Linked DNA regions of Bombyx mori. The protein of the gene in region 4 purifies or fractionates together with the protein of the main gene of each other region. This does not show direct contact. Links are inferred from orthologs where the notes say so. Each region holds a gene or a part of one and is shown on either strand. Other genes may lie near its edges. The genes, in order: S-phase kinase-associated protein, transcription-associated protein 1, E3 ubiquitin-protein ligase UBR5, armadillo segment polarity protein, ruvB-like helicase 1, paxillin and CREB.

Region 1 (4,148 bases), on a different chromosome or scaffold from region 4:
ACGCGATACACCGTCGACCGGTCGCTCTATTTACTGCTATATTGTTCCTGCTGTACATCAAGGGAGGTAGAGAGAAGATAGCAACCTCATACATTGGATAGCATTGGAGTAACACGCACATTTAGTTACGAATTAAGGAAAATATTGCAGATGTCAAACCCAACATAAGTCTGATTTATTTTAACATACTCTGGACAGTGCTAATAGTGAAATTTAACATGGCTCAATACACCCTAAACAATCCTTAATTCCATAAATAGCTCATGAAGCTATTGTAAATAAAAGGAAAAAAGGTTGGATCAGAAAAAAAGTAATCATCTGACTATTACATGAAACCCCAAGTCAAACAAACTATGAGACCTAAACATTATGTTCTATGAAAAGGAGAGAATAAATAATTGATAATTATTATTAATTATTTTTTTTCATTTGTAATGATATTTTATTATTAAAATAATAATGATTGTAAACAATAAATAATTGCCAATAAGATTTTTTTCATTACAAATTTTATAGTTTACTTGCACCTCTTATCCATGACCACAAAAACTGTTAGATTTTGAAACTGAAATTATAAATTGATAATAATATACTCAAGATAAACTGTAAAAGTAGTTTTTTAATTATAAAAATTACAATCCAACAAAAAATAATCACCTTTAAAATTTTGTTTTACATAGCATACAATGTAGCACAATATAAATTAAATTGCTGGAACTCACTTCCAGTTTCTTTTGAAAGAGGCAGACGGACATTTCTGACTATGGGTTCATATACTAAGCTTTAAAAGTAATTTTAATGACAAATATCTAAGAGGAAAAAATTGTTTCATATATATTATTTTCATTTGTTATGCTGATGGTTTAATTCTATCTTAGCATCAGGAACTGACTAAGGGAATGTGGTTATCAAATACATACATATACAGTGAAAATCTATTATAACAACATCGAAGGGACTGCTCATATTCAGTCGTAACAACCAGTGATGTTTAATGTGTATCGTGCAAGTACAAACAAAGTACAAACAAATCGATAGTGAATTATTGGAAAAATATATTTACACAAAACGCAATTTTTCTTTGTTATTAATTTGTTTTTTTTCTTTGCAACATTTTGAAAGTTTCACGAATAACTCCACAAAGTTTTGGTGTGTCTTGTGTATAGATAAGTAACAAACTAACTGAAAAGATATGAAGAAGTGGGCTTTGACTCTACCGCATACACATTTTTGTTTCTAAGAATTAGAAAAGACCCTACACTAAACAAAATCCTATTGTTTTCTTTCCTGATTTTAATAGCCATTGAAGACAAATGTGGATACCTATTCAAATTGTTTACAATACAGCTTAGCCGGTCGTTCTAACAGATCTAATTCTCCGAAATATTAGTTAAATGTGGTCATTTTATTAGGTATGTCGGTATTAGCAATGTCGTATAAAGCAATGTTTTTAATAAGGCGGTCATATAGCATTCAGCCGGGACCTTTGTTCTAGGTTATTATAACCAGCATGTTGCTCAAAATGATGTCGCAGTAAACGGTTGTGACTGTATATTTATTTACTTTTTGTATTGACATTGATGGTGACAAACTTATTTTTGTGGTTTAACATTGCAATGGATACTGGCAATTTCTGGACACAATCAAGACTACCCACACAATTAGTTAAAAAATAAGCAGATGACAAAAATTTAAGTCAGTGATTTATGCTAATTATTTCTATTTCATAAAGTAAATTTTCCAATAAATATAATACAATTAAAGTTAAATGAAAAGTAATTTAAATGATAATATGAAAATTTAAATTTTATTGAAAATCACAATGACATGATGTACCTATTTTTATATAATTTACAACACAAACAAATTTACTTGGTTTAAATTAATTATTCTTTATTGCCATGGGAAAAATAGTTTAATGTTGCATACATAGTGATAATACATAAAGATGCTTGCAAATAGCATTTATTATGGTTTACTTTTCTTCACACCATTCATTCTCTTTACGAACCTGATCTTCTTCTGCAGCAGTGAAATCATTCTTAATGTTGAACGTTTTACGGATTTCTTCAGGAGTCTTTCCTTTGATCATGTTTGCTACAGTTTTACATGTGACATCTAATAAACCCTTGATGTCCAAATAATTTGCAGCTAATATTAATTCAAAGAGTGTGCCTTGGTCAACTTTCAAAAAATCAGCATCCCATGATGATATGTCATCAGTCCTCTTTTCCTTGTTTTCGTCATCTTCTGGTAGCGGAGGATCGTCTTTATGATAAGTAGCCCACTGAATAACTTTTTTGAGTATTGCAGAATTGACATTAGGTAAAGGTACAACTTCCTCTTCATCCTCTTCCATGCCTAAGTCTTCTAGCATAGTTTTGATAGTTACGGAGCATTTGGCGATTTCAACATCAACAACGAAGACCTCGTTGTCTGATGATTGCAACTTAATATTTGGCATCTAGAACAAAAGAGCGGTGGGAACGTAAATCATAAAACGACGGCTGAGAATAAGACGCCATTTTCCAATTTATAAATAGCGAAGTATTTACCTTGTTTTTTCAAGTATTTGAATGTTCACAATTAAGTGAAATTTATTTATCTTCAAACGAAAATGCCCTTATGTTCTGGAGATTTTTCCTTAAACCCAAACAGTGAATCAATGAGTGAACGAATGAATAAAATCATTAATCAATTTTGTTTTTTTTTCTGCTTTCGTTTAAATTTTTCTAAGGGATTTTATGACCTGGTAACTAAGACCTTTAGGTCATGTCTTTTTTTAATTTATATTCAGATTTTTATAAATTTTTTATTATGGAGTGAAATGAAATGAAGATGATTAATTTGAGACATTAATCAACTGGGATGAAATTAAATGAAATGAGTTGATATGGTATGAAATATAATCTCAGTAAAATGGTGGTTATTTACTAAGATTTTTTCAGTGGACTTTTTGGAGGAACTCGAGAAGTTACGTCCAGCAGCTTTGTTTCATTTTCCCACTTTTGTGCACTTTCACAGATATTAAACATTTAATAAACCACCGTTATTACACATTTAAACCTGAAGAAACACTAAATAGACAAAATAAAACAAATCACACAACTTCACTCCTCGCGCTCCCGCCAAAAGTACCTCCAACACCAATTGTTTTTTAAGGGATTTTATGACCTCATAACTAAGACCTTTAAGTCATGTCTTATTTTAATTTATATTCTTATTTTTATGAAAAATGATAATATGGAGATAAATGAAATGAAATGAAGATGATTAATTTGAGAAATTAATCAACTTAGATGAAATTAAATGAAATTTGATGATATGGGATGAAATATGATCTCAGTAAAATGGTGGTCATTTACTGAGATTTTTTCAGTAGACTTTTTAGAGGAACCCGAGAACTTACGTCCAGCAGCTTTGTTTCATTTTCCCACTTTTGTGCACTTTCACAGATATTAAACAGTTAATAAGCCACCGTTATTACATATTTAAACCTGAAGAAACACTAAATAGACAAAATAAAACAAATCACACCACTTCACTCCTCGCGTTCCCGCCAAAAAGTCCCTCCAACACCAACATTCATTTCCCACCATAGATACACACTTAGTTTCCCACACAACTAAAAAAAAAAAGAAACTTGTGAATGGAGTAAAGAAGAAATCTAATATATAAAATTCTCGTGTCACAGTTTTCGTTGCCATACTCCTCCGAAACGGCTTGACCGATTTTGATGAAATTTTTTGTGCTTATCCGGTATCTATGAGAATCGGCCAACATATATTTTTCATCCCCCTAAATGTTAGGGGTAGTCCACCCCTAAATTTTTATTTTTATTTTTTAGACAAAATTTTTAATTTCTATTTTTTTATGATACAGCATACAAAAATACATACAACCCTAAATTTTCACCCCTCTACGATCAACCCTTATTTTTTATTTGCTAATTAAAAACTTTAAAATTGTTTGCGAGAATTTTGTTTTTATTTTGTCATGACGTAGAATAAAAAAATTCATATTACTCTGAAATTTTCAACCCTCTACGATCAACCCCTATTTTTTATTTGTTAATTATAAACTTTAATTTATTTGGCAAGATTTTCATTTTTATTTTTATTTTGTCATGAATTAAAATAAAAAATCTG
Region 2 (4,295 bases), on a different chromosome or scaffold from region 4:
GTGAGTTGATATCTTTGTGTGAAGCTGAAGATTCGATGCTAGGGAAGCTACCTTGTTACAAAGGTGTCAACTTGGTGCCTCTACGCGCCTCTGCTTTGAGGGCTCTGGCGTCTTGTCACTACATGCAAGAGAAACACTGCAGAGAGAAAATATTCCAAGTACTTTATAAATCTTTAGAGAAGAACGATACGGAATTGCAACAAGTAAGTGAAGTTATTATATATTGTCTAAATAGTAAACAAGATCCAAAATTTTTTTCAATTTTTTTCTATTTGTAAGTATTTCCCAAACTGGCTGTGATAAAATGTAATGAATAATAATTTATACGCAGGCTGGCTTTGAATGTATGCAGAAGTTCTTATCCGGCTTTCAAATCGACATGGAGATGGTCCACCCGGTGATGCGGCCGCTGCTGCTGACCCTGGGCGACCACCGTCACCTCAGTGTGAACGGCGCAAAACGACTATCGTATTTGACGCAATTATTTCCCTCCACGTTCAGCGAGAAGCTCTGTGAGCAGCTTCTGCAGCTTCTGAAGAAGTTGCTGGATTATTCTATACAAACAAATAGGGGTATGTTCATGTGCAACTAACTGACCCGGCAGACCTCGTAATGCCTCAATCGTTAAATAAAAGATCTAAGCTTTTGTATAAAATAAACTTAAAACAAACAAAAAGAATCCGTCTGATGGGGGACACATAAAAAAAAATGTTATTTTTATTTAATTCCGAGCATTTTCATATTTATCTACCTTTTAAATATTCTTTGGACTTCCACAAATAATTCAAGACCAAAATTAGCCAAATCGATCCAGCCTTTCTCGAGCTTTAACGAGACTAAAACAGCAATTAATTTTTATATATATCTGCAATAAACAATCTTTATAGTACCACATAAATAACAAGTTTTATTTTCCAGGCGGAAATTTCTTGCAAAGTGTTTCGAAGAACATGGAGAACGAGCAAAAAATCTTGATTTTAATTGGAATATTTCATCAAATACCAGCAGCATCACCCCGCTTTATTGACGTTCTTTGTCGCCTTATATTTCACACCGAAAAGTCTCTGATGATTGAAGCTGGTTCGCCTTTTAGAGAGCCACTGGTCAAATTCCTTATGAGGTGAGTACCCACGCCACTTGTGGTTATAATAACTAGTGGTCCCGTGGTAGTTGAAATTCGACTATAATTAATTGAAATTATAAGTTTGTACATTACTTTATTTAGTTTACTTTACATGAACTTCTAATAGGTTGGGGAAAAAGTCTTTTCGCATTATAGTATGTATAAGGTTGTGTTATGTTATATAATATATGCGTGTGTGTGTCAAATATATGCTAGTGTGTGTAATGTTTTTTTATTGATTTAATGTATTTTTTACGCATAATTAAAAAAAAATTGTATTCTGCACTCCTTTTCTATAAGAGTGAGAAATTTCATACTCCTCCGTCCGCGCAATTTTCGTTAAAAGGGGTACATTTTTTGCTTCATGTATTAATATATAGATACAGTAGAATACTTTTATATATTTTTTTTATACTTATAATTTTATTTTAGATACCCAAAAGAGACCCTGGATTTAGTGCTGGGCGACAATAATATAAAGGACCAGCAGTGGAGTCGATTCCTGGTCTTCCTTATCAGACATCCCGAGGCTGGTCCCGCGTACAGAGAGGCGCTACAGACTTCTAAAAAGCCTCGTCTAATGCAATTGTTAGCGTCCAACTCGACCGCGACAGCCGCCCAACCTCAGCCAGAAAAAGCTGAAATGCAATTCCAGGCCGTCAGGGCTATATCGTTGCTGATCAAATATGACGACCAGTGGCTGTCCACTCAGCATGACTTGATAGAATTACTGAAACGCATATGGTACAGCGACAAGTACCATGTGAGTGTTTAAATTTGATTATATTTTTTTTAAATGTATTATATTTAATTCTTTTTTATTAATGAATATTATTTTTGCAGGAAATTCATAAGAAAGTGGAAATTGTGGATTGCACTCATTGGAAAGAACCAAAACTGATTGTGAAGATTTTGTTGCACTATTTCTGTCATCATCCTAACAATATCGACCTCTTGTTTCAACTGCTGAGAGCGTTATGCGATCGTTTTGTGCCAGACTTCCAGGTACTGTAAATAATATAGAAAATTTCGAATGCTGTTATTTACATAATTTAAGACTAAACTAAATGATTTTTTTATAGTTCCTGCGAGACTTCCTGGAAAATACAGTAGCACAAAATTACACAATCGAATGGAAAAGGTCGGCGTTCTTTCGCTTCGTCGAACATTTCTCTAACGACGCAATGTCTCAGGAATTAAAGGCGAAAGTCTTGCAGATGATTCTGATTCCCTGTTTCGCTGTTAGCTTCGAGAAGGGGCAGAAAATAGTCGGAGGCCCGCCGGCCCCATATCAGGACAACCCCGACAATGTCGTCTCTGTGTTCATAAATAATGTAAGTTTCATTCGTTTTGGTTCACATTAAAAGGTATACATATTTTACAGTGAGTTAAATATATATTTTTTACATTAATAATCGACATGTTATTTTTATCCAATCAGGTCATAGATCCAGAAAATCCATTCGCTTGTTCGGACGCGGTTCGCATATCCCTGCTCCAGTTCGCATGCCTGTTGCTGGAGCAGGCGTCGGCTCACATCCACGACGCTAATAACAAGAAGCAAGGAAACAAACTCCGCAGGCTCATGACCTTCGCCTGGCCGTGCCTCCTCGGGAAGAACTACGTCGATCCAGCCACCAGGTCAGTCAGGTTTCAAGTTAATGATAATTTCATTGATCCGATCTAAATTTGTTGTAAAATTAATCTTGATATACTTTTTTCCTGCAGATACCATGGCCATTTGTTATTGAGTCATATTATTGCGAAATTCGCAATACACAAAAGAATCGTTCTGCAAGGTGAATATGAAAATAATATTTATTTGTTTTAGTGGGATTTTAGTAGAGATTTAATAAGAAAATTACGTACTAAAATGTGTTTGTTTGCGTTAGTATTTCACAGTCTGCTAAAGGCCCACGCGGTGGAAGCGCGTTCTGTGGTGCGCCAAGCGCTAGAGATACTGACGCCGGCGATGCCGCAGCGCATGGAGGACGGCAACACGATGCTAACGCATTGGACCAAGAAGATTATTGTTGAGGATGGACATTCAGTGCAACAGCTCTTCCACATACTGCAGTTGGTCGTGAGACATTATAAGGTTAGTAATCGAGTATGAGTTCGAAGTCATTCGCGGGATTCGAATACCGACACAGTCACAACGCTCTATTGAATGCACCAGGCGTCTTGTTCTTTAGGCCACTACGACGTCAAAATACTAGTCGGCGGTATTAAGGAGTGATTGGAGCCTATAGGTAGTATAAAATGAATGTTGATGTCCTACTTGAGAAGTAAGATCGAAGTTTCATTTCGGTTAGTTTAAACACATTGAACTTATTCATTAACGCCATATAAAACAGCGTCAGTTTTTTTTTCATCTTTTCGCACGTAGCTTAAGAGGTTATTCCAGCTATGCGCGGACGGGTAGATGAGCTTACGGGCTTAACCCGAGAGAATTTGCTAACACTAGCCCATACAAGAGCAGTGGTTTGCAGAATCTACCACCAGATCGGAATCGCAATCCACTGAGAAGATCCGGCGAGAAACTTAGTGGGTTGTGTCTATGGGTTAGTTCGCCATGAGTTCGACGAGGAACAGCATCAGTATTCGATTTATTGGTATACAGCGATTTTACTGTACAGTTGTGTCATAGTTGACGCCTATAAGTGACATTAACTACTCAGGTGAATCGTATGCTCGTGGGCCTATAAAGGCCAAAAAAGAATCCTGTAGATATGATTAGCAACGTGACGTGCAGGTGTACTACCCGGTGCGGCACGCGCTGGTGGGACACATGGTGGGCGCCATGCAGCGGCTCGGCTTCTCTGCGACCGCCTCGCTGGAGCACCGCCGGCTCGCCGTGGACTTGGCCGAGGTGGTGCTCAAGTGGGACCTGCAGCGCATCCGGGACCACGCACTGCCCGACGACAACATCGTACGTACACTACATCTTCCTGATATGTTCCTAATAACAGATCTCAACTTAACTGATCGTTACATATTTCACTGCCATAAGAACAATAAGAAACAGATCTCTGACAAGTAAAAGTTCTTCCAATTTTTATCGCTAACAGTAAATTGTAAAAAATGTTATTATATAACTTTTTTTTTATTGCTTAGATGGGTGGACGAGCTTACAGCCCACATGGTATTAAGTGGTTACTGGAGCCCATAT
Region 3 (5,016 bases), on a different chromosome or scaffold from region 4:
GCACAATAATGGTTTAAGCATAGGTTCGGCATTCTTTATTATTTTATAACTAAGGAAAACAATAGACAAATTACCTTGAGAACTAGGAGCAGCACGAATAGAATTTCTCATAATTCGAGCTCGAGTGCGTGGCTGTTGGCGAGATCCACAACTACCACTGCTGCCTCCTTGCTTTCCACCACTCGTTCCACCTCCACCACTTCCGCCACCGCCATTTCCTCCATTCTTGCTAGCATCTGATTTACTCAGGTCCAATCTATCAGGGATGATTGAGAAAGCAGCTCTACATATGGTTCCATCTTCCAACAAACATGCAATATGGGCAGGCCCAGCAGCAACAGCCCGTACACCTCTCAGTGAACTGAGAGCTGAAGAACCTGCACCTGTTCCGTATCGGTTCCAACGTTCTGCTACTTCTCTAATTCTGTAAGACAAAAATACAAATTTTGTATATTTTTTTAAATCTTCTGAAAGGAATTTGGTAAAAATACTTAGATAGATAAAAATACGAAAACATTTCATATATTGAGTAACATTTATTGTCCATTTCATCATTTAAATAAAAGTCAATCAGTAAATACATTTATAAATTAGTAAAAGAGTAGTGAAAAGCAGAGACAAGGTAATTTTGATTTAATTTTTCATCCTACAGTACTTTTTTTTAGATGGTTGGACAATCTCAAAGCCCTCCTCGTGTTAAGTGGTAACCGGAGCCCATTGACATGTACAACGAATGCCGCTACCCGGATTGTTATAAGAGTTCTAAGGCCTCAGTATAGTTAGGGTGGTGGTACATACCTGTGTGGACTGACAATACCTACCACTAGTGAGACTACTTATAAATACTTTTCAGTTATTATATGAAATAAGTTATTATGAATATAAGTTATTATATGAATACTGGTGGTAGGACTTCTTGTGAGGACGGGTAGGTACCACCACCCTGCCTATTTCTGTAATACATTTACAAATTGTGGTTACCATTTTGTCAAATTTAAATAAATTTGAATTTAATATGAAATCAATAATGTTCTCTCTGCAACCAAAGAATAGATTTCAATTATATGAGATTGCACATTGAACTATATCAAGTTATGATTTTTTTCTTTGTTATTATTGAGGGAAACATATATAATAGACTAGAATATTACCTTACATTACCTTGATCCCTAATGGTATAAAATATCTTTAATACTGGAACTCACCAGCAATAGAACCCAGACTCCAAGATATAGTACTCACTAAGTAGAGAACCAGTGAATCAAATAGGTAAAAATATTTTGAAATCTGACAATATAGCTATTTGATTATGTGTACTCTCTAAGCACATTTTCTGAATATTTAATCAAGTATTTGTAAAAATGAAGTTTCTATGGTAATTATAGGTGTATTATTCTAGAATTATGTTCTTTGTGTAATAATTTTAGTACTAAATTTAACAAACTAGTGGAACATTATATAGACATCCCTTATTTAATTTATAGTTAGCAATAGGTTTTCTTTGTATTCTTGTTGTATTCAGTTGTTGGACTGATTTTTTTTTTTGGATTAACAAGCTACAAACTTCACAGTCACATAATTTTACTACAACCCATATAATTCACATTTTTATCCACTTTGAAACATGAGGTCATAGTCTCCATTTACTGTATAGTCTGTCCCACCCCTCACACTGCAAGATATTATTGCTTTACGGCAGAAATAAGCAGGATGTTGTTAACTAAACAGTGCAGGTCACAATACATCCTACCACCCGTAAAATCTAGTTGACTATTTTAGTGTGCTGCCCATTATCTAATGAATTCATTAGTAACACAAACACCATGAGAAGAATGTGATGGTGCCATTCTAGGTGTACACACTTGACCATATAAATTTGAATTAAAATTAAACAACCATCAGATTGTTGAACAGATAAACCAAGATTGTTGAATCAACATGCCATAAAGTTAGTTGCGCGGGTCAGGTCTAAATTCTATAAAATGTAACTATATTTTATTAAGCTATCCTTTTCTGCCTTCATGATGTTCTCGTCATGAGGAATGGTGACATTAACCAACACTGCTCAACACAGAAGACCCTGTCTATTATCACAGTATTGAGCTTATTGGTGACAATAGACCTGTATGTGATAATAGATTGATCCCAGTTGGGTGCAATTATTTATTATTAGATATTGTTGTAGTCATCCGTTTAATAACTTAACACAAAAGATGCATTTTCTCAGAACTGATTTTTTTCATATAGAATCTATTTAAGAGGGTAAAGAAAGCAAAAAGAAATGTACTAATTGGGTGTGTAAGTATCAAGTAAACTACATGTATATTTCGAAACTTCTTAGTTATATTTGAGATATACTTTATGATTTAAAGAATAATAGTCCTGTAAATCGAATTCAGTGCATTTTATATCTAAACATTTATCTCTTGTAGTTTAAAAATCTCATCATGAGCATGACCTACCTACTTTTGTATAAATAGGTAGCATCAATTTATTGATTGTGTCTTCATAACTGAAATATCTATAGAAACTTATAATTGGGATCATGAACTAATAATTATGATACTGTAAAACTGGACACGAGAAAACGGATTTTATTGCAATCGTACATCTGAAAATTATATTTGCCATGCCCATGAAAAAACTGCAATACATAATGTCACCGACACACAAAAGTATTTATTACATATATACCTAGTATGTACATCTATATTATATTTTATAGTGAAATTGAAAAATTTAAGGTGAGTACACCGTGCTCATTAACGTGAGACATTAAAATGTTCTTTGTGAATTGAAGTCATGGAATGTCGGATTTCACAACGTGAACGAAATGGAGTCTAGCAAAACGATAAAATATGTTTACCTGTCTATCAACTGATCCTCCGTCCCAGGCAAAGGATGAACTACAAAATGCATTGCAGACATTTTCACGATTCTATCCCGTGGAAACTAGATTTCAAAGCACACTTTAACATTTGTTAAAATTCACCACAGTTATGCACGAACAAAAGAACACCATCTACAATTTTCCATCAACCACCATATTTCTCGTGGTTTCTCTTGTAATCGCTTCTCGTACTCAAATACATGTGAGTCGGTACATGACGAAAAAAGAAGGAAAATATCAACATGGCTACCAAATTTTTCCTTAATGTTGGTAAGAGTTCGCTAACTACAAAAAAAATAATCGACTAAAATCTTGGGGGACCGGTTACATCGTAAAAAAAAGAAAATGATAAATGAAACTATTGTATTAAGTTAAATAACCATTTAACACATAGTATAGCTACTTCTTTTAAGTATATCAAGCAAAACGGTTAAAAAATCTCTAAAGGAGGTTCTAATTCAAACAAAATCTTCATACAGAAATTATCCATGAACTAGATAAGTTAAATATTGATGTCACAAAGAAAATAGTTGCGTTGTAGTCCTAAAAGGCAACTAAAAGCATTACCTACTTGTTTTTATTTAAAAAGGCATTATTCTCTTTAAAGTACACTTTAAAAACTGAGTTTAAAAAGTAGTACATACAAGTAAGTTATGCACTATTTAAGTAAGTTTTTAATTCTTCAATTTTGTTTTATTATATTGATTTTATAGATGTCTCATCAAGAGTGCATTTTTTAATCTTGTGAATTTTTATTTCGTGCAAGTAGCAATGATTAGCATTGCATAGCATAGATTTGATAGCTGAGAATGTTTCGATTATATAACATTTGAAGCATGTATGAAGCACCTTGTTAAAAACATTTTCTCGGATGATTTACAAGGGAATTAAATTGTCCCTTCGTAATAAGGTGACTGTCTACAAAACTTGCATACATCCAGTCATGACCTATGCAAGTGTGTGTTCGCTCCCGCAGCCCGCACTAATTTAAAACCCCTGCAAGTCATTCAAACCCGTTTTTGCAAAATAGCCCTCTGAGCACCGTGGTTCGTGAAGAACGTGGATCTTCACGATAATGTGGAGTTGGACTCCATCAGTAATTATTTACAGTCGGCATCAGTGCGCCATTTTGAGAAAGCGGCGTGACACGAAAACTCTCTTGTCGTGGCCGCCGGTAACATGTAGTTATAGTACCCGATCCTGAAAACCATTGTTAACCAAACCTGCTACATGTTTTTAGTATAACTACAAATGATAAACAGTCCACGTCGCCCAAAACACGTCATTCCGGATCCTCCCGATCCACTATCGGTACTTTTAGGTACCACAACGACGAAGAGTAAATTAACCCACAGACACAGCCCACTGAATTTCTCGCTTGATCTTCTCAGTGAGTCGCGTTTCCGATCCGGTTGTAGATTCTGCGAAGCACTGCTCTTGCTGGGGCTAGTTTTGGCAACGTCCTCAGGTCAGAGCTCCGTGAGCTCACCTACTCGCCCGGTTACGCTGGCATAAGCCCCTAGGCTATCAGTTTAAGTCGAAAAAAATAACGAAAAATCTTTAAAAAAAAATTGGAAAAGTTACAATGAGATCGCTCGCATACTTCGCGGAATTCGTTACATGAAAATAATAAGTTTTTGTTGTTAAATAGACGCCATAGATTTCGATGACATTTAGTTTTAGTAGGACGGCGCCATATACCACGCCCATAGATGATACATTTTAATTATATGCCACGGATGAAACAATCGATTTATTACCGCAACGATTTCTAGGTCAATTCATATCACGAAATTATCACGTCAACTGGCCACAAAATCACACGATTTTCCGTCATGATATTTTTTATTTAGAGTTATGTGAAGTCTCAGTTTTATTTAAGTATATCAATTTGTGGGTCCCATGGTATAAATATCTTAGTTTGGGTCCAGAGAATCGTGTGCGTGCCGCGGATTATGCTAGTAAACAAAAAAATCAACAATCAAGATCCAACACGTCATGTATAAAATATAATATTTGTGAAAAATCACCGAAAATTTTGTGAAAAACTCGCCACCGATTCCTTCCGAACTCTGGAAAGTGTGTTAACTGTAACCATTACTGAAACTAACGAAATTATCCAACAA
Region 4 (4,178 bases):
ACCATCATGGCAGCTTGGGATACTACTACTTGATCTTCATCATTCAGTAGCTTTATCAACTCTGGAATAGCTCTGAAACAAATTTAAAATCAATAGGAATAGAACAAATGAATAATAATAGTGTAATGTTTTTTTTTTCATGCTTGTTGCCTGATGATCTGATAGAATATCTGGTGTTAGGCTATTATATTACATAATTATACCTGGTAGCTAAATCAGCATCATCTTGATAATTGATGAGGTTCACCACAGCATGCTTTAACATCTGGGAAGGTTCAGCTAAACGCTGGACAGCAGTTGGTTGAGCGGGATCCAGCTGTGTCGATGGAATTTCAATTCCTTCCTCCAGCGTTTCAGGAAACATAGCCGCACGGACTCTTTGAGATCTAGTTTGAGAAAGCTGTTGATTCATATCTGAAAGTAAAGCATATGATATTGAATACAACAATCCAAACAGCTTGTATTGTCATAAGAATTTTTGTGTAAAATTATTTCTATATTGTACATTCAAACGTTTCTAAATGAAATGGGGAAACAACTCACCATCAACTTGTTCTTGAGTGAATCCCTGAGCAAAACCCTGATCAAGGTCAAACATAAGTTGGTCACCTTCCATCTCATCATCTTCCTTGCCAGTTAGTGATGGAACCTGAAGAGAATCATACATTTAACTAAAATAAATTGATGTGACTATTCAAAAAGGTAGGAGTCATCTGATTATCACTCTCAGTCAAGTTACAAAGGTATGGTTATGTATTCTCATAAAAAATCTTTTGTACTTTTGGGAATAAAAAATATTTTTTAAATATCAAATAAAAGTTAGCAATTATCACTATAGCTGATCTTTTGTGCATTTTTATGATATTTTATATTACTTTTCGAGCTGTATACTAAGATTTTAGTTTCATCAGTGCTTAAACAACTATTAAGAAGTACACAAGGCTTGACGTGTACTCTAAAAACTAAAATGCAAGAATATCTTCACACTATAATGGATGGTGTTTTGCTCATATTTACTGTCCTTACTTAAAGAACACAGGCCAGATAAAATCAATGAAATACCATAACAGATTTCACTAATGAAAGTACTGCTCAGTTCAATTCAAAATCTATTTAATATGCAGAAGTAATTTTCAAACTGCTAGTTTGTATGGTTCAGTCACGACTAAATGAGACAGAAAATGTTTTTTCTTTTTCTTTAGATCATTCTACGTTTAACAGTTAAAAGTTCCATGATAAAATCAGCAAGGTTTAGAGCACACGTAGTTCAGGTATCTCATATTATGAAGTGTCATCATAATAAAAAATTTAATCAAACTTCATCATTATTTTGTATATTGAATGACTTATGTTGTTGTATTGATAAAGATAGATTTTCAGTTGTGTCCATCCCAAAATTATGTTAAATTAAGAAGACAAGCCGTATTTTATTTTAATCCAATTTTTATAATGAAATAGGACAATATTACTGCTGTATTTTATAATAGACAGTCTGATAACATTACCTGGGTAGCAGCTCCAGAGTTGATTCCAGAGTCCACTAAATAGGAGTTTTGCTGCCACATCAATGTCTGCTGCTCTTTGTTTGGTGCCATTGGCACATCAGAAGCAACATAGCTGCTGTGCGACACTGTAAAATAATGATGTTTTCTCGTTTTTTATTCACACAAAACAGAGAGATATATATATATTTCTGTAGGAATGTAAGGGGTAGTATGGGTTTAATTTCAAGCGAACATAAAGAGAATTAGTAAGTAGTTGCAGGAGCTAAACTTAAACTAAAATAAAGTGGTTACTTTATGCCATTAATGTGAACTCCACGTCTTTTGACAAGAGATTGAAGTTTCAATTATGTTGAATCCTAATCTTGTTATACCTGTATTTTCATTAATTGAAGAACCTTTTTGAGAGTTCTCAAATCATAACAAATTATATTTCAAATTTCCTTTTAATCTAATTTATTTGCAATTTGTTTAAAAATTGTTTTCAAATAAATGAACTGAGAATGTATGATTCAAAATGTAATTTTTTCCCTCAGTTTCAATTCCAATGTTTTCGTGTTTTAGGATTTCTTTTTCTTTTGCTACTTAGCAGAGAATGTACTGAGATACAGAAAAGTTAAAGTTCATTTATAAATTTATCGTTCAAGTAATGCCATATGCATGAGTCACGATAGACACAAACCGATTCATTCAATTGTATCGAAGTAAGTGGTTTGAACAGCGTTCAGTAAGTACTCAAGCTTTTTGAATGGCAATGATATGATAAATTTACATTTACAAAAGAATCAATATAAATTACTTACTTGTGCGACTTTGCGATGATGGAATTTGATAACTCATGATTTAGACGATGCGACGATGCACCCGTCCCCTGTTGTAAAAAATACCATAAAACATGTCTCCGCTTTGTACGTTATCGATCGATTCATAAGAATTAAAGCATGGTTCACATTAGAACTTAATCACATAAACATTTGCATTTATTTAATGCTTCCCACTAGGAAATACTTTTGGAACAGCGGAAAACAAAACAAATAAGTGCACCATGAACTAAATACCGAACACCACACCCGACCCCATAAAATAACTTGTACTGGTCGAGATATTAAGGTGACTAATATCATTATTTAATTAAAATTAATGCGAATAAAACTTACCTTGGCCGTGCAAGCCAAACAGATTAACTGTTTTCACGACTTTTAAATAATTTTTACAAATTAAATGCACAATATCCGACCCACCGTCACTCGATTCATACAACAACATGGCGGAGACTCGTCGAATTTCGTTTACTTTCAAATGCAGCTGACACTAGTATTGCTACTTCGTTCGCTCTAAGGTATTGCATATGCTTTTATCTCATTTTTTCTTCAAAGGCTCGGGGTGCCAACATAAAGTTCAGGGATAAATTGTAAACAATACGATTCGTGGCACGCAGATTTGTATTTTTTTAATGATGCCTAATTGATTTGTAACTTTTTTATACAGCAGATAATAATTTTACATAATTGTTACGTCATATTATTATATTAAATGACCTAGTTTTAAAAAACCTGATGTACCTGAGCCTTGACCACTGAGTCTACTCCCTGTCTGAAGGTACCTGAGGTCTTATTCCAGCTATGCCCGGACGGGTATGATTTTAAGGGATTGACATGAGTTAGACCACGTGACGTTTCGTTAGCATAGGTAATTATTATTTATTATGTCAATTCCTTAAAATTAAATATAATAAATACGGTACTTCTGTATTTACATATCTAATATTCACATTAACGCTAGTACATTCACAGATAATATATGTACTTAATATTTAAGAGCACACTTTGTCTAGATCCCTAGGTCTATATTGGTTACTAGCTAATATTTAAGTTTTTAGATTAAAGGCGGTTGATTTTATCAGGTATCTTTATCAACTTATGTGAAAATATTTCTAGGTACAAAATTATTTCGAAGCAACATAGTAGGCAGAATCCTGCTTCAAGATCAATGCACGAAATAATGTCATACAAGTTCCGTGGCCGTGAATGCGATGGCGATATTACTTTCAGATTTTTTGTTGGCATCAAAAGCAAAAAAATATCGTGGGTTCGATTCCCAGATCAGGTAAACATTAGTGTGATGAACAGATTTGTTTACTATTTGTTTGGATGTTGATATCCGTATAAATGAATGAAAGTATTGAGCCATTTTAAATGTTATAAACGTACTTTTAAAGGTATAGCTATGTATTTATTTATCTAGTTTGGGGCCAACTGAACATGTGTGATTTCTCCGAGCTAATTTTCTTTTTGTTATTTTGTAATCTTACAATTTGTACGAAAAATTTCGTCTTGACCAGCTGGGTAGTTAAAACATGAAAGCGCAACAAACCACCAATCCCACTTTCGCATTGAATAGTATTATTATGGATTGAAATTGCCAAGATCTTCTGCTTATCGGGACTTTTTTCAAAGTTCGTTTAAAAGAAGCACCTGTCAAATCGTAGACTCAAATGGATGATTTGTGCATATTTTTTATGGTATTTCAATAACACCGACCGTTGTGAAGCAAGAAAACCTCGAATAAATACGTGCTGTATAAAGTCTTCATTATTATTTTACGGAATCAATAAATTAGTATCACCTAAAATGGCCAGCAGTTTATACAATATATCAACGTACAGCCGTTTAAATT
Region 5 (4,754 bases), on a different chromosome or scaffold from region 4:
GTGTAAGGTTACATCTTGTACAACTTCTTTCTTTTTGTGTACATCACCTTTGGGTAGCGGAACATATTCTTCAGCCTAGGAAACAAGTTCAAAGTTGATTATCATCCAAAGAGGGGATTAAGAATTGATTGTATGAGTCAGAAGTAGAATTACGAAAAGTTTGGAGGAGATTGATTGATTCAATTTGATTGATTGATTGTTGATTTGGTATTAAATGATTCTAGTAAGTACCACTACAACTAAATTTAAATGCACCATGTACATACCTCAAGGTCAAATTCAGTAGCAAAAGTATCACTCCTACCCTGTCTCTTCACTGCCCCCGAATTAGCTTCAATGTAAATGACATCCCCAACTTCAACCTTTTCCTTTTGTAACGATTCATATATAGTTGGATCAAGTTTAAGTTGTTTGGTACCCTTGGCCGTTTTTAGTCCTATGATCACATGAGATACTGTTTTTCCATAGCCTTAAAAAAAGAAGATATCAAAAATATTAGGTAAAGCAGATATAAGCCAAAGAATCAAGTCAGAGCAAGTCAAGTCAAAATTTTACAGTAATTGAAGCAAGATTATTCATTGCATGATAGATCCACACAAAAAATCAAAACTAATATTATGAACTTTGGTATCAAATTTTTGACCAATTTCAAAGCTTCATGTCAAGGGGAAAGCCAACCCACTGCCTACAAACTGTGCTAAGAGTAGTTGTAGTTAAGGTTTAGACAAACTTATCATTTTACTGAATGTGCAACGGACTCCCAACCTTCAATTTAAATTGCTGTTCTTAAAATACAAACTGACTATAGCCAATATCTGTCAATTAATTTCATTTTAAGTTCAATCATAGTAGATTATATCCACTTTGGCTTTAGCTATCTAGAGACCCTATTTAGACCCTTAGACCTTCTTATATCAATATAAAAAAAAAAAAAAAAAAAACATTTAATTCAGACCCTCTTAAGTCCATATTAATATATAAAAGAATAAAAGAATAATTTTGCTATAGTTACCTCCAGCAGGATTTTCTGTTTCAACAGGTGTTAACTCAGTTACTTCACCCTCATATACTTCTTTGGTTTCACGTATACGCAGGCCTATAGCACGTCGAAAATTCTCCATTAATACCTCTGTTTTCTTGATCTCTGTGCTGTAAACTTCACTACCAACCATTGGACAGAAAGGAACCTGTAATGATGAACATTTTCAAATGTTTTTATGCTTGTTTTATGACAAATTGATGATGATGATATTTCTATTCATATACTTCTAGCTAAGGACACTGAGGAAACTATGATAAGTTTATTATATGTAATGTACTGTTTAGCATATTCATTAATTTTCTAATGCCAATGTATATTAATAGGAGCCTATTAATCATTCTTTCAACAGTTCTTGTTCACTGGAATTTACTATTTTCTTAGTAGCTGTTTCCTAACCTCTATCTAAAAAGTGTGCGAATAGGAAGTCTTAAGTGGCTGCTTCCACCATAATCGGTCAGTAAAATGTTAACACATGGTCAGTCACACTATGGTCAGTATGCTCTAAACCGATGCCATTGAGATTGTCAATAAAAAGACTTTTAAAGAGAAGTCGTCGTGGCCTAAAGGATAAGACGTCCGGTGCATTCGTATCTAGCGATGCACCGGTGTTCGAATCACGCAGGCGGGTACCAATTTTTCTAATGAAATACGTAATTAACAAATGTTCACGATTGACTTCCACGATGAAGGAATAACATTGTGTAATAAAAATCAAACCCGCAAAATTATAATTTGCGTAATTACTGGTGGTAGGTCCTTTTGTGAGTCCGCACGGGTAGGTACCACCACCCCGCCTATTTTTGCCGTGAAGCAGTAATGCGTTTTGGTTTGAAGGGTGGGGCAGCCGTTGTAACTATACTGAGACCATAGAACTTTAGGTGTGTGGCGCATTTACGTTGTAGATGTCTATGGGCTCCAGTAACCACTTAACACCCGGTGGGCTGTGAGCTCGTCCACACATCTAAGCAATAAAAATAATAATAAAAAAACACTCATTTTAGATATGAAAATAAGAAGGTGACAGCCCAAGTTTATATTGTCAGACTTAAGTAAGAACTTACCTTAGTTCCAAGTTCCTGAGCGATGGCAAGAGCTATAGCAGTTTTGCCAGTACCAGGAGGCCCTGCCAAGAGTAAAGCTCGCCCGGCCATTTTCTTACTTCTTATCATATCTACAACTATCCCTGCAGCCTACAATTTTTAAAATTAATAAAAAATAGTTTACAAAAAAAAATGTATTTGTATAGATGCAATAAAAATACCTGTAATTTTGTGGTCATTGGACAGTAAATGATAAATAAAAATTAGATTGTATTAAATGTGTTAGGTTGCTTAAGATTACATTGAATTACTATTACTAAACTACCTAATCCTACAATTCAACATTTTGTTATGTATATTGTCATATTGCCTCCAATTACCATTGATCAATAATTCCATAGCAACCAAACATTGATAACCTCAAATTATTTTTCTCGAACTTCTGCTCTACGAGGTTGATCTAATAAAACTTATACAATTTCGAGTGTAAATTTATCGGCAATTTTTTTGGAAATTTTATTGTATACCTCACGTGCAGACTCTTGACCCACGAGACCGGCTGCCATTTGAATAGGAACACCATTTTCATCCAACCCCAAGCCTTTTATATGACTGTGAGCAGAGATCCTTTGCGTTTTAGCTGTGCTTTTCACTTCTTCAATTTTCATGTTGAAAGCAGCTTTACTCTTTTAAACAGTAGACGTTACTTTGTATTTTCTTTTTAGTACTCCAACAGCAAACTTGAGCAAACTTACTTTTTAAACTACACCATACATTATACAAACTACACTGTACAGACAATATATTAAGTTTATAATCTATGCTACAGACCATAGATTAGGTATACGCTTCTTACAGACTACAGCACATAATGCCGGCCACTCACATGCGCGCAAATATTCGTACATTGTACGAATGTTTGCGCGCATGTGAAGGGCCGTCAAACATTCATTCGCAAACTTAGCGGCTGTGCAAATGGGTTCGGTACTCAATTTGCGAACCCGTTTGCGCTTCCTCCTACACTTGTTTACGAATGTCTCACGAATTTCTCCTCCTTTTTAATTCGTCAATAGAATATTGAAGAGAAAAAGAGTTTTGAATTCTTTCCCAGACATCATTAACAGCCATGCTGTTTTTATGGGATTTCTTTTGATTAAGATACGCTACACAGTACCTGGACGTCACGATCTATGAAAATAGCGAAACGTCCGTTGCCTTCGCTATCCTGGGCGCAACTGGTCACACGAATGTGTGGGAGACTACGCGAAGGATCGCGGTTCGCGCGGTTTCATGTCTGTTAAAAAACCGACACAGCTTGGAAAACCACGAATGCAGCGAAAACTTTGCATAATCATTTGAAAATTAACAAAAATTTCAAAATTAAAAAATTATAGCACACACACGTCATCTACTCTTCTATTTGCCCTGAGTTACTAAAAAAAGAAAATTATCTATAAATATAGTTTGAATACTATTATTTTAATTAAAAAAAAAATTCTATATGATTTTTTATCTCTTTTTTTATTATTATATTTCTAATTTTCGTAAAAAGATAATGTAATACATACAAAACAAAAGCCATTAAGTTTATTAAGTCAGAGCTTCTCTGTAAACGATAATTGACGTAGTTTTATTTTTTTAAATAAAAGAACACTTACTGTGGCATAACTATAATAGTTATACTGCAAAAACACTGTAAATATTAATGTGTTCTACAAAGTCGTAGTACATTATTTTATTCTATCATAAATAGTTTTCGGTTTTATTCTATCATCAAATCGGTTCAGTAGTTTCGGAGCCTATTCAATACAAACAAACAATCAAATCTTTCCTCTTTATGATATCGGTATAGATGTATATAAGTAATATTCACGCAATGCTAACATTTTATAGAATTTTGTGTTACATTTTCGTTCTACTATTTTTACCTGTAAAAATCCTAACGTATCGCCGACAAATCTTATAATATATTTTATGCAGAATTATAGTAGTCGTTGATTCCGGTCCGGCGGTAGATTCAGCGAAGCACTGTTTTTGCTTGGGCTAGTATACACCAATTCGTCAGGCTGAGCCCCGTAAGCTCGCCTACTCACCCGTTGAAGCTGATAGGTATAACTATAGCCCCTTGAAGCTACCAGCATAAGTAGGCAAAAAAAAAAACAGTGGTTGGGTTCGTTTGACATTTAGTAAAGTCAAATTTCACATAATCCGGTAGGTAAATGCCAAAAATTGACAAAATTACAGAAATGTAAAATCGGAAAGATAAATTAATCAATCCAGACAATATTGTGTATTGATTAAGACACAAAAATCTAACTTAAAGATAGTTTTAAAACAGTGAGATAGATGAATTAGGTCTAAACTTATTAGTTCAAGTAAAATCAGGCCTTTTTTCCGGTATATATATAGCATTAGATTCACTGGAGAATCTAATTTGAAATGGAGTATACTGTGCAGAATTTGGAATACGCCGTTTCTGTATTCTATAACGGAGAACAAACCGAAAGGGCCAACGCACATGCGTGGCTCACAACGGCTCAGAGAGTTCCCGAAGCCTGGAATTTTGTATGGGATCTTCTTCAGCCAACTAAAGTTCGTATCTTAAAATTAATTAAAACTAATTAATATATTATTCTACATATTATAAGGAATTCATTACTTCTCGTTACTTC
Region 6 (3,188 bases), about 2.4 Mb from region 4:
TATATTATACTTGGTATTAAATTTCTATAACTGAAGCAATGACGTCATAATGGAAATATGTGGGTTCTATCTTGATTGTTGAAACGGTCCTTTTCTAAATTGTTTTTAATACATATTGGTTTATTTATTTATGATGTCCATTTATTTATTTTATTTATCGTTTGAATTTTATGAGACATTTATAAACAAAAATCGATAACCACATGGAAATGAAATTTCCGCGAATGACTGATTTTAGACAGCCGGTCGTTAAAATCTCCGAACAAGCTACAGTATGTTTACCTGTTGTATAAGTGGTATTACTTAGCGATATTTAGGCAAGAAATGCTTTGACACATGAACTCCATATTCAACTCTTCAAATATTCCCTATTTGAGTTCTCTCTCCCTAAGTAGAATGGGAGATTTAGTAAAAATTCAGCGATTGTTACTTACAAGGGTGTGCTGACCGTTTCCTAATTTATCAGCGTACCAAAATCTAAAACAAATAACATAGGAGGCTCCTGGTCTACACTATTTAAAAAAATATTGTTTATGACCTAACCGCGTATATTTATTTATAACCTTATTCAATTAATGTCTGTGACATTTTAGACCGACGACAAAAACATTTAAACCTATCTAAACTGTATAAGGGTTTATATAAATATTTTATAATTAGTCATCACATGCACTTATCTAGCTACTACTATTTCAAAGAATATCCGTTATATTTTAAGAAATTTAACATTTTAGTAAGAAAATGAATATTTTTTTCATTGTTTTCTTTACCTTAAACATAACTGTAGTGAATTTTATAGAGATTTTAAGGAATTAATGGTAGTAAATTACTACTGCGTATTATTCCTTACTTTTATTGATAACTTTACAACTTAGACCAATAAAAAATGTTTTTTTTTTTTTCGAATTTTCGATTATCGATTATCTTTTTCAATGAGCTATTAAGATCGTGAGCAGATGAGTTTATATTTAGACTTCATTGTTCGAGACTTTAAATCTCACAAAAAACAAACAATGTTCTCACATAAAATCTAATGTTATTCCATTTAGTTTAATAATATAATAAATCGATTTTTATAACAATACGAATATATTGTATCCGATCAATAATTAATAAAAGTCGTATTACATAAAATTTATTTGTCGATATCCGACATTTTGATGTGACAACAACAGGCGCCATTTTGCGTTCGCTCGCCGCCATTTTACCCGAACAGCTTGTCAAAGCACGCGTGGCAGTACGGCTTGTCGTTTTGTTCTTTGAAAGTGCCTTTGTTGAGTTGTCGAAGGCAAAACGCGCAGACGAAGTGCTCCGGGTGGAATTTCCTGAACATCGCCGTGATGCATCGGCCCGCGATCGGTTTGTGGCAGCCCGCGCATAATGACCCTCGCTTTCCGTGGTAATGCGTCTCGCAGTACGGTTGGCCCTCGTGCTCGAAGAACGAACCTCCGTGGAAAGGCTCACGGCATTCCTGGAACACAACTTTTTTTTTTTAATAACAAATAACCCAGTACATTTGCGCGTCACCGCATTCTCCATTAATGTGTATTCCTTGATGCAGATCCCCGTTTTTATTTATTTATTGCTTAAATGGATGGATGAGCTCACAGCCCACCTGGTGTTAAGTGGTTACTGGAGCCCACAGATATCTACAATGTAAATGCGCCACCCACCTTGAGATATAAGTTCTTAGGTCTCAAGTATAGTTACAACGGCTGCCCCACCCTTCAAACCGAAACGCATTACTGCTTCACGGCAGAAATAGGCAGGGTGGTAGTACCTACCCGTGCGGACTCCCAAGAGGTCCTGCCACCAGTAATTGGCGACAAGACTATATTATATATTCATTGTGTTTTGATTTATTTGTTTTACGAAGTGTCCATAGTAGATACTAGCGAAGAAAAAAATCTTGAATTTACAAAAATATACCGAGATTTTTTTTTAAATAAATACATATGCAATTGACAAATCTGGGTCGCGTTGCGTCAGAATGTTTTCCGTCTATCCTTCAACCGACTAACATTATAATTTGGACGCAATCCATGAAAACGTCTGGTTATATCAACATTAAAGATTTTTTAATCTAATTTTATGAAATACGATGTTTTTGTAAAATTTCAACGTTGAACATTATTAATGTTTTATTACGAGGAGTTTATTTGTTGAATTATTTTGTAAGTGCACTGTTTATTGATATGCTGACAAACCGACTGGCCAGTGGCCACCAGGGTGAGAGCGACTTTATATGATACTTCATAGCGTTGCAGAGAAACGGAGGCCGTCAGTACCAACCAAAGTAACTAATATGCGTGTTTCACTTTAAAATATGATATACTTAGTTTGTTTACTATAATTAGTTTGCTAATTAATATCATTGTTGTTAGAATCCCCCTTTTTTCACTACCTACTCGCTGGTACTGGTATACCCGGATGGATGAGCTCGCGTGCACAACCCGAGATAATTTGCTAACACTAGCCCAACAAAAGCAGTGCTTCGCAGAATCTACCGCCGGATCGGAAACGCGACCCACTGAGAAGATCAGACGAGAAACTCAGTGGGCTGTCTGTGGGTTAGTTTACTGGTGAACGGTAACCGGTGCTTGAGTACCTTTTTTTTTTTTTTTTAACGCTGGGGAATCCATTTACGGATACCCGGTCGAGAGGGGTAATAGACCGGGTTATGTCGGACTCCGGCGCCTCCAGAGAAGAAGAGGAAGAAGAGGAAGACCAAAGTCCTCCTCTTCTTCCAATTCCTACCGGGAGACTACGCCTTGAGAAAGGCGCGCGTGCTTGAGTACCTAAAAGCACCGTTAGTGGGTCGGGAAATCTTGGACGAATTTAGTACATAGTATTTGATGATTGGTCGTGGCGTGAAGGATAAAACCTTCGTGCAAGTGTATTAAGCGATGCGACTACCGGTCATCGTTCTCGTCGAACCCATCGCTTGCGACGAGGGGCTCGCCGAGTAAATTAACCTACAGACACAGCCCACTGAGTTTCTTGCCAGATCTTCTCAGTGGGTCGCGTTTCCGATCCGGTGTTAGATTCTGCGCAGCACTGCTCTTGCTAGGGTTCGTGTTAGCAACGTCGTCAGGTTTGAGCCCCGAGAGCTCATCTACTAGTTAAGGTTACGCTGATATTGTCTCTCTAGAGTACTCTAGACCGTCAGCTTAGGTAGGAAAAAAAAG
Region 7 (4,821 bases), about 3.4 Mb from region 4:
GGTAACTTAATTATCATTTTATAATGGTTAGTAATTTTTTAATTATAATAATCCAGTAAAGTTTATACTCAGTATTATGAAAATTAATTTTCACTTTTTATTTCGGCTACAAGAGTGGAAAAGTATAAAAAGTTCATAGTACCTATAAAAAGGTCAATAACCATTTCTATGCTATTATTTATTTCAAGCAATTCATGTACAATCTTACATATTATTATATTCCCCGTGGACGGTAATCGTGCCAGATTTTAATTTGTTTTACGGTCTATGCTAGTTTCATTTTAATAAAATTATATAATTTAGAAGTAGATGAAACTTAGACTACGATTAAGACTGCTATTTGCAAATACCTTAGTATTATTATCCTGAATGTAAAAAAGTTTCAACTCAATCAGATCATTTGGAACAAAAAAAAAACTTGCATACTTATACAATGAAGATATTTTTATTTAGTATCAAGATATTATTTCGTTAATTATTTTTATTTTGAGAGCTAAATTGGTTAAATTTGTAAGTTGTATTAATGAACAAGATTTCCTACCAGAGTAATGTTTGAAAGTAAAAATTATTAAACTCAAATTATTCAAGTTTTATTTTTGGATACAAATGGAATGACATTAAATTTAAAGTTTTCAATTTATTGGTCTTTCAGGAGTTTTTTTTAAATTATTTCATTAATGACACAATAAAAGTGAAAAGTATCGTTGTCTAAATGGACTGACCGATTGCCCAACAATTGCAAAAGAAGAAACGGTTACAGCTTACTTCAAGCGTTTTGGTTAGCTTCACATTTAAAAACTTACTGAACAAAATTTGTAGATCATATATTATTTTTTATATACTGTACATACACATGTGTGGAAATTGACAAAGAGTATTAACGAAACTATTATATTTTACTTGTAATTGTATTTTTTTTATCTACATTAACAATTAATAGAGGTGCTAACTCCACTAATGAGTGAAGTTAAATCCTCACCTCACCTCCAAATTTAATGCATTAAGAATTTAGCCAGGCTCAAAATATATAATAATAAGAGAATTAGATTGTAATATATATAAAAAGCCTAATGATATCTTAAGTCAGAGAAATCAGTTTCGTCTTAAATACAAGAATTGGTATCTTTAAGCTACTGCCAGTAATTTCCACCACTTTAAGTAATATCTTGGAGCTCCACAGTGGGAGTGACTTGGTTCTGGCTTTGGTTTTTCTGATATCAATAAACAGCATATAAAACCCTCTTTAATTTTAAATTTGGAATACCATGAGCCCTCACATGGGTATCAGTATTGTACCTATTTCTAGTGAAAAATAATAATGTGTCCGGTTTGACCAAAGGTGGTCATTGTATTAATGCAAAATATTGAACATCATAATCCAATCTCATTCACATTGCAGTTTCTATGAGCTCCAGTTGTCGTTTTATAATATGTAGGCCTTGAGCAAAGTAATGTCAGCAGACAACCAAGGAGGTGGACTGACGATATGGTCAAAATAGCTAGTAAGTACTGGATGTAGATGGAGAAAGGCAAGAGACTGAAGGGAATTGAGTGCATGTGAAGAGAACTACACTCAGTATTAAGTGGACATGGGTTGAAAAAGAGGGGTTGTGGGCCCATCTTAGTATAGAAATATTACTACTAGCTTTTTCGGTGCTATGAAACATTAGTACTAGCGACAATTAACTGTGCCAATTTAGTAGCATATTGATTGATAATAACCAATTTTAATTAAAAATATTTAGTCATTGTGATCAAATTATGATTATTATTGAAAGACAAAATATGACATTGTTATCATAATTATTGCATCTTCATTACTACTGCAGTATTATTAACAGCAATACATTTGATAAATTAGTGCTTTTTCCATATTATTACATTGGTAGCTGATCCAATGACAAAAAATGTAATGATTGATTTAGGTGAATCAAGTTTGCATAATTTATTATTGAGCAGACTATTATTCGCACAATGCACAGCACTACATCTATCACAAGTCTTTATTATACACCAAAACAGTAAACATAGAAACTGTACCTGCAATTTCTGCTCCTCCAAGGTCATTTAAAATTTTTCGATAAGACGGACGTCTAGTCAACATTTCTCTATATTTACGTTTGGGACTTTCATCACCACTGCCACAGCTTTCATCACTACATGACTGACCTTGTGTATTCACAAGTGTATTAGGTTCTGGTTTTATCTAAAATAAGAAATAGGAATAAAAAAAATTTGAAACTTTTGTCTGTTTTAGATATTTAGTATGATTTTATGAAAATTTACAATTGAACCATACTCTAGTTATTGCTTATTTTGGTCATTAAATATGCTATAAAGTTTGATTTCAAAAAATGTTTTTATCCTAACCAAAAAATTAGGCAATGATGGCTTTCCTCAACACTATTGAGTGAATTACTGTAAAGATTAGAGAATATTTAATTTACCTGTAACGTTTGTAATGTCCCTTGCGTAGTGTGTATTACAGAACTGGGTTTACTAACAAGTATAACATTTCCCTTTGGTATCTGTACAGATTGGATATTGGATGCTGTTTGTATCACTGATTGTTGATTAGGTTGAATAACAGACTGCACCTGCAAAAAATTTAAATGATTTATATGTACTATCTAGTCTTAATATTTGTAAACAAAACAAACAGTTTACTGATATTATTGAAAAGGTCCCCTTTTAACTATAATATTAAAATTTTATATTAATTTGATTCACTCAACAATACATATAGATGGAATTCACACCTGTGCAGAGGGAGCCTGACTGGGTAGAGTAAGTTGTACTATACTGGTGACAACATGAGGAGTGGAACCCGGTGTCGAAGAGCTCGCGCTGGCCAGTGGATCCGTCGTGCCAGCACCGCCTGTGGTGCCGTTCTCTTCAACCATCCCTTCCATGCCAACTAAGGTCACCTAAAATTCAAGGTCAACTCTCTATGCATTCTTCATTACTAGGTTTTTATGCGTATTGCAAAACCAATTTGTTTAGCTTGGCTCTATCGTTGCAAGGTTGTTCACGGGATATCCTAAAACGGCATCATCACGTCATAGCCAAAACGCGGTATTTCTTAACAACGCGTTTCATGTAAATGACACAGATTATCTCTGTGTTTGGAACATTTTGAGTGATTTTATCATCATATGGAACATACATTATTTGCGATTCCAAATATATGCGACCGTGACAGGTCGCAAGTTTAGTCTTCACAAGCACTCACCAGTTACGTATTCCTCGTCACCGTCTATGCTGCGTCCGGAGTGGGTGAACGGGAAGGTACGTAGTAGCCACGTCAACTGCGAGAAGACTCGTCACTGGCGGAGACCTATGATCTTGTATGCGTCATCACAATATGGCCGAATTCTTTAACTGGATAGCGCATGCGTTAAAAATTCTCAATTTACAATAACTGTCAGTAATGGATGTTATAAACTTTGAAATTACAATAAAAAATTGTGTTCATAATATGTCTAGGTACATAATCATTGTTTTCGTTTTTTGATTATCATCACTTACACGACATTTATGCATGTTAAAAATATTGTACAAGAAAAAATATTTTTAACTGTCCATATTTTTTTAAATTTCGCAAACAACTTAGTCCATAAATAATCAATGAATTTTAAAATAAATAATGAACCAAAGAAAACACCATTTTGGAGTAACCAGTTATAGTGATTATATACTCTTTGGGAGTAACTTTCTGTGTTGAAGCAATTTTATACTCCCTAAATCCTATGTGGTATATGATGACGTCAGTCACGTGGCTGCATATGCAAGCTACTTTTGCCTACATTGTATCTTCTTATTGTGTCACATATTGCAAGTGTCACGACTTTTTCAATGTAACTGTCACAAAACAAAACTCAAAATCAAACATATTTTTTTTTTTTTTTTTTTTTTCCTTTATGGCAATAGTTTTAACTTTATGCCAGTTTCAAGTGAAAGGTAGGGAAACTACCCGCGACAAAGTCATCAAAAGGAAACAAAAGGATAAGCTAGTTAAAAACAAGACATGAAAAATAATTAATAAAAATAAATTAAATATATTAAATAATAAATAAACATATTAGAGATCTGAAGAGGAGGAAGTCTGCGGCTAAGACTAAGTATAAGTTGCGCCCAACCGAGTTTAACCGAACACGTTATGTTAAGATCAGAAATCGTTGCAATATGGTGTGTAGAGACGCTCAAAGACGTCACATTCATGATTCCGTTAAAGTTGAGGATCCAGCAAAAGTCTGGAAATTTCTAAGGTCATTAGGAGTTGGTAAATCTCGTCAAGAGTGTAATTCTACAAACATTAACATTGATCAGATGAACATTTTCTTTACTTCTTCGTCTTTATTAGATGACGTTGTTAAGTCATCTACCATTAATTCTCTTTCTAACATTACCGCTCCTGACCATTCTTCTTTTAAATTTCGTCAATTCACAGCTTGTGATGTTCGAAGGAGTATCCTTTCTATAGCGTCCAATGCTATCGGAACAGATAGTATAAGTCGTAATATGGTCATCCCATTAGTTGATATCCTGCTTCCTATTCTTTGCCACATCCTTAATTTTTCAATTTCCAACTGTGTGTTTCCTTCTGTTTGGAAAGAAGCACAGATAATACCTCTGCCAAAAAAACCTAACCCTAAATCCTTTTCCGACTATCGACCTATATCCATTCTTCCTTTCCTATCTAAAGTCCTCGAACGCCTTATCCATAACCAGTTGAGTTCGTTCCTTAATAGTCATGATCTCCTGAACCCCTTTCAGTCCGGTTTTCGTCCTGGCCATAGTACAGTCACTGCTCTGGTAAAA

The links.
Region 1: the proteins of armadillo segment polarity protein (region 4) and S-phase kinase-associated protein purify together in Homo sapiens (affinity purification with western blotting; 3 studies listed by BioGRID, with this or other methods). This does not show direct contact. The link is inferred for Bombyx mori from reciprocal best matches to the Homo sapiens genes CTNNB1 and SKP1.
Region 2: the proteins of armadillo segment polarity protein (region 4) and transcription-associated protein 1 purify together in Homo sapiens (affinity purification with mass spectrometry; 3 studies listed by BioGRID, with this or other methods). This does not show direct contact. The link is inferred for Bombyx mori from reciprocal best matches to the Homo sapiens genes CTNNB1 and TRRAP.
Region 3: the proteins of armadillo segment polarity protein (region 4) and E3 ubiquitin-protein ligase UBR5 purify together in Homo sapiens (affinity purification with western blotting; 3 studies listed by BioGRID and IntAct, with this or other methods). This does not show direct contact. The link is inferred for Bombyx mori from reciprocal best matches to the Homo sapiens genes CTNNB1 and UBR5.
Region 5: the proteins of armadillo segment polarity protein (region 4) and ruvB-like helicase 1 purify together in Homo sapiens (affinity purification with mass spectrometry; 6 studies listed by BioGRID and IntAct, with this or other methods). This does not show direct contact. The link is inferred for Bombyx mori from reciprocal best matches to the Homo sapiens genes CTNNB1 and RUVBL1.
Region 6: the proteins of armadillo segment polarity protein (region 4) and paxillin purify together in Homo sapiens (affinity purification with western blotting; 3 studies listed by BioGRID and IntAct, with this or other methods). This does not show direct contact. The link is inferred for Bombyx mori from reciprocal best matches to the Homo sapiens genes CTNNB1 and PXN.
Region 7: the proteins of armadillo segment polarity protein (region 4) and CREB purify together in Homo sapiens (affinity purification with western blotting; 3 studies listed by BioGRID). This does not show direct contact. The link is inferred for Bombyx mori from reciprocal best matches to the Homo sapiens genes CTNNB1 and CREB1.

Annotation. Positions count from the first base shown.
Region 1 is NC_085119.1:7,149,667-7,153,814, reverse strand, and holds S-phase kinase-associated protein, read right to left. Parts: upstream 2,703-4,148; 5' UTR 2,556-2,702; intron 2,465-2,555; coding exon 1,976-2,464; 3' UTR 1,296-1,975; downstream 1-1,295. UniProt on the Homo sapiens protein: Essential component of the SCF (SKP1-CUL1-F-box protein) ubiquitin ligase complex, which mediates the ubiquitination of proteins involved in cell cycle progression, signal transduction and transcription.
Region 2 is NC_085110.1:5,823,632-5,827,926, forward strand, and holds part of transcription-associated protein 1, read left to right. Parts: coding exon 1-203; intron 204-331; coding exon 332-572; intron 573-918; coding exon 919-1,120; intron 1,121-1,555; coding exon 1,556-1,886; intron 1,887-1,966; coding exon 1,967-2,128; intron 2,129-2,205; coding exon 2,206-2,457; intron 2,458-2,564; coding exon 2,565-2,764; intron 2,765-2,851; coding exon 2,852-2,922; intron 2,923-3,015; coding exon 3,016-3,221; intron 3,222-3,878; coding exon 3,879-4,055; intron 4,056-4,295. UniProt on the Homo sapiens protein: Adapter protein, which is found in various multiprotein chromatin complexes with histone acetyltransferase activity (HAT), which gives a specific tag for epigenetic transcription activation.
Region 3 is NC_085121.1:11,160,643-11,165,658, reverse strand, and holds the start of E3 ubiquitin-protein ligase UBR5, read right to left. Parts: upstream 3,149-5,016; 5' UTR 2,929-3,148; coding exon 2,867-2,928; intron 425-2,866; coding exon 75-424; intron 1-74. UniProt on the Homo sapiens protein: E3 ubiquitin-protein ligase involved in different protein quality control pathways in the cytoplasm and nucleus. Mainly acts as a ubiquitin chain elongator that extends pre-ubiquitinated substrates.
Region 4 is NC_085116.1:12,303,003-12,307,180, reverse strand, and holds the start of armadillo segment polarity protein, read right to left. Parts: upstream 2,801-4,178; 5' UTR 2,660-2,800; intron 2,613-2,659; exon of another isoform or gene 2,416-2,612; intron 2,374-2,415; 5' UTR 2,343-2,373; coding exon 2,306-2,342; intron 2,234-2,305; exon of another isoform or gene 2,066-2,233; intron 1,631-2,065; coding exon 1,506-1,630; intron 650-1,505; coding exon 544-649; intron 415-543; coding exon 204-414; intron 73-203; coding exon 1-72. Other genes in the region: uncharacterized protein LOC101744306, read left to right, coding at 4,001-4,178. UniProt on the Homo sapiens protein: Key downstream component of the canonical Wnt signaling pathway.
Region 5 is NC_085128.1:12,885,748-12,890,501, forward strand, and holds the start of ruvB-like helicase 1, read right to left. Parts: upstream 3,122-4,754; 5' UTR 2,751-3,121; coding exon 2,610-2,750; intron 2,233-2,609; coding exon 2,104-2,232; intron 1,188-2,103; coding exon 1,013-1,187; intron 470-1,012; coding exon 267-469; intron 76-266; coding exon 1-75. Other genes in the region: importin-13, read left to right, coding at 4,522-4,674. UniProt on the Homo sapiens protein: Possesses single-stranded DNA-stimulated ATPase and ATP-dependent DNA helicase (3' to 5') activity; hexamerization is thought to be critical for ATP hydrolysis and adjacent subunits in the ring-like structure contribute to the ATPase activity.
Region 6 is NC_085116.1:14,686,842-14,690,029, reverse strand, and holds the end of paxillin, read right to left. Parts: intron 1,472-3,188; coding exon 1,205-1,471; 3' UTR 1,020-1,204; downstream 1-1,019. UniProt on the Homo sapiens protein: Cytoskeletal protein involved in actin-membrane attachment at sites of cell adhesion to the extracellular matrix (focal adhesion). Recruits other proteins such as TRIM15 to focal adhesion.
Region 7 is NC_085116.1:8,892,930-8,897,750, reverse strand, and holds the start of CREB (cAMP responsive element binding protein), read right to left. Parts: upstream 3,226-4,821; 5' UTR 3,167-3,225; intron 3,041-3,166; exon of another isoform or gene 2,928-3,040; 5' UTR 2,913-2,927; coding exon 2,760-2,912; intron 2,598-2,759; coding exon 2,448-2,597; intron 2,207-2,447; coding exon 2,041-2,206; intron 1-2,040.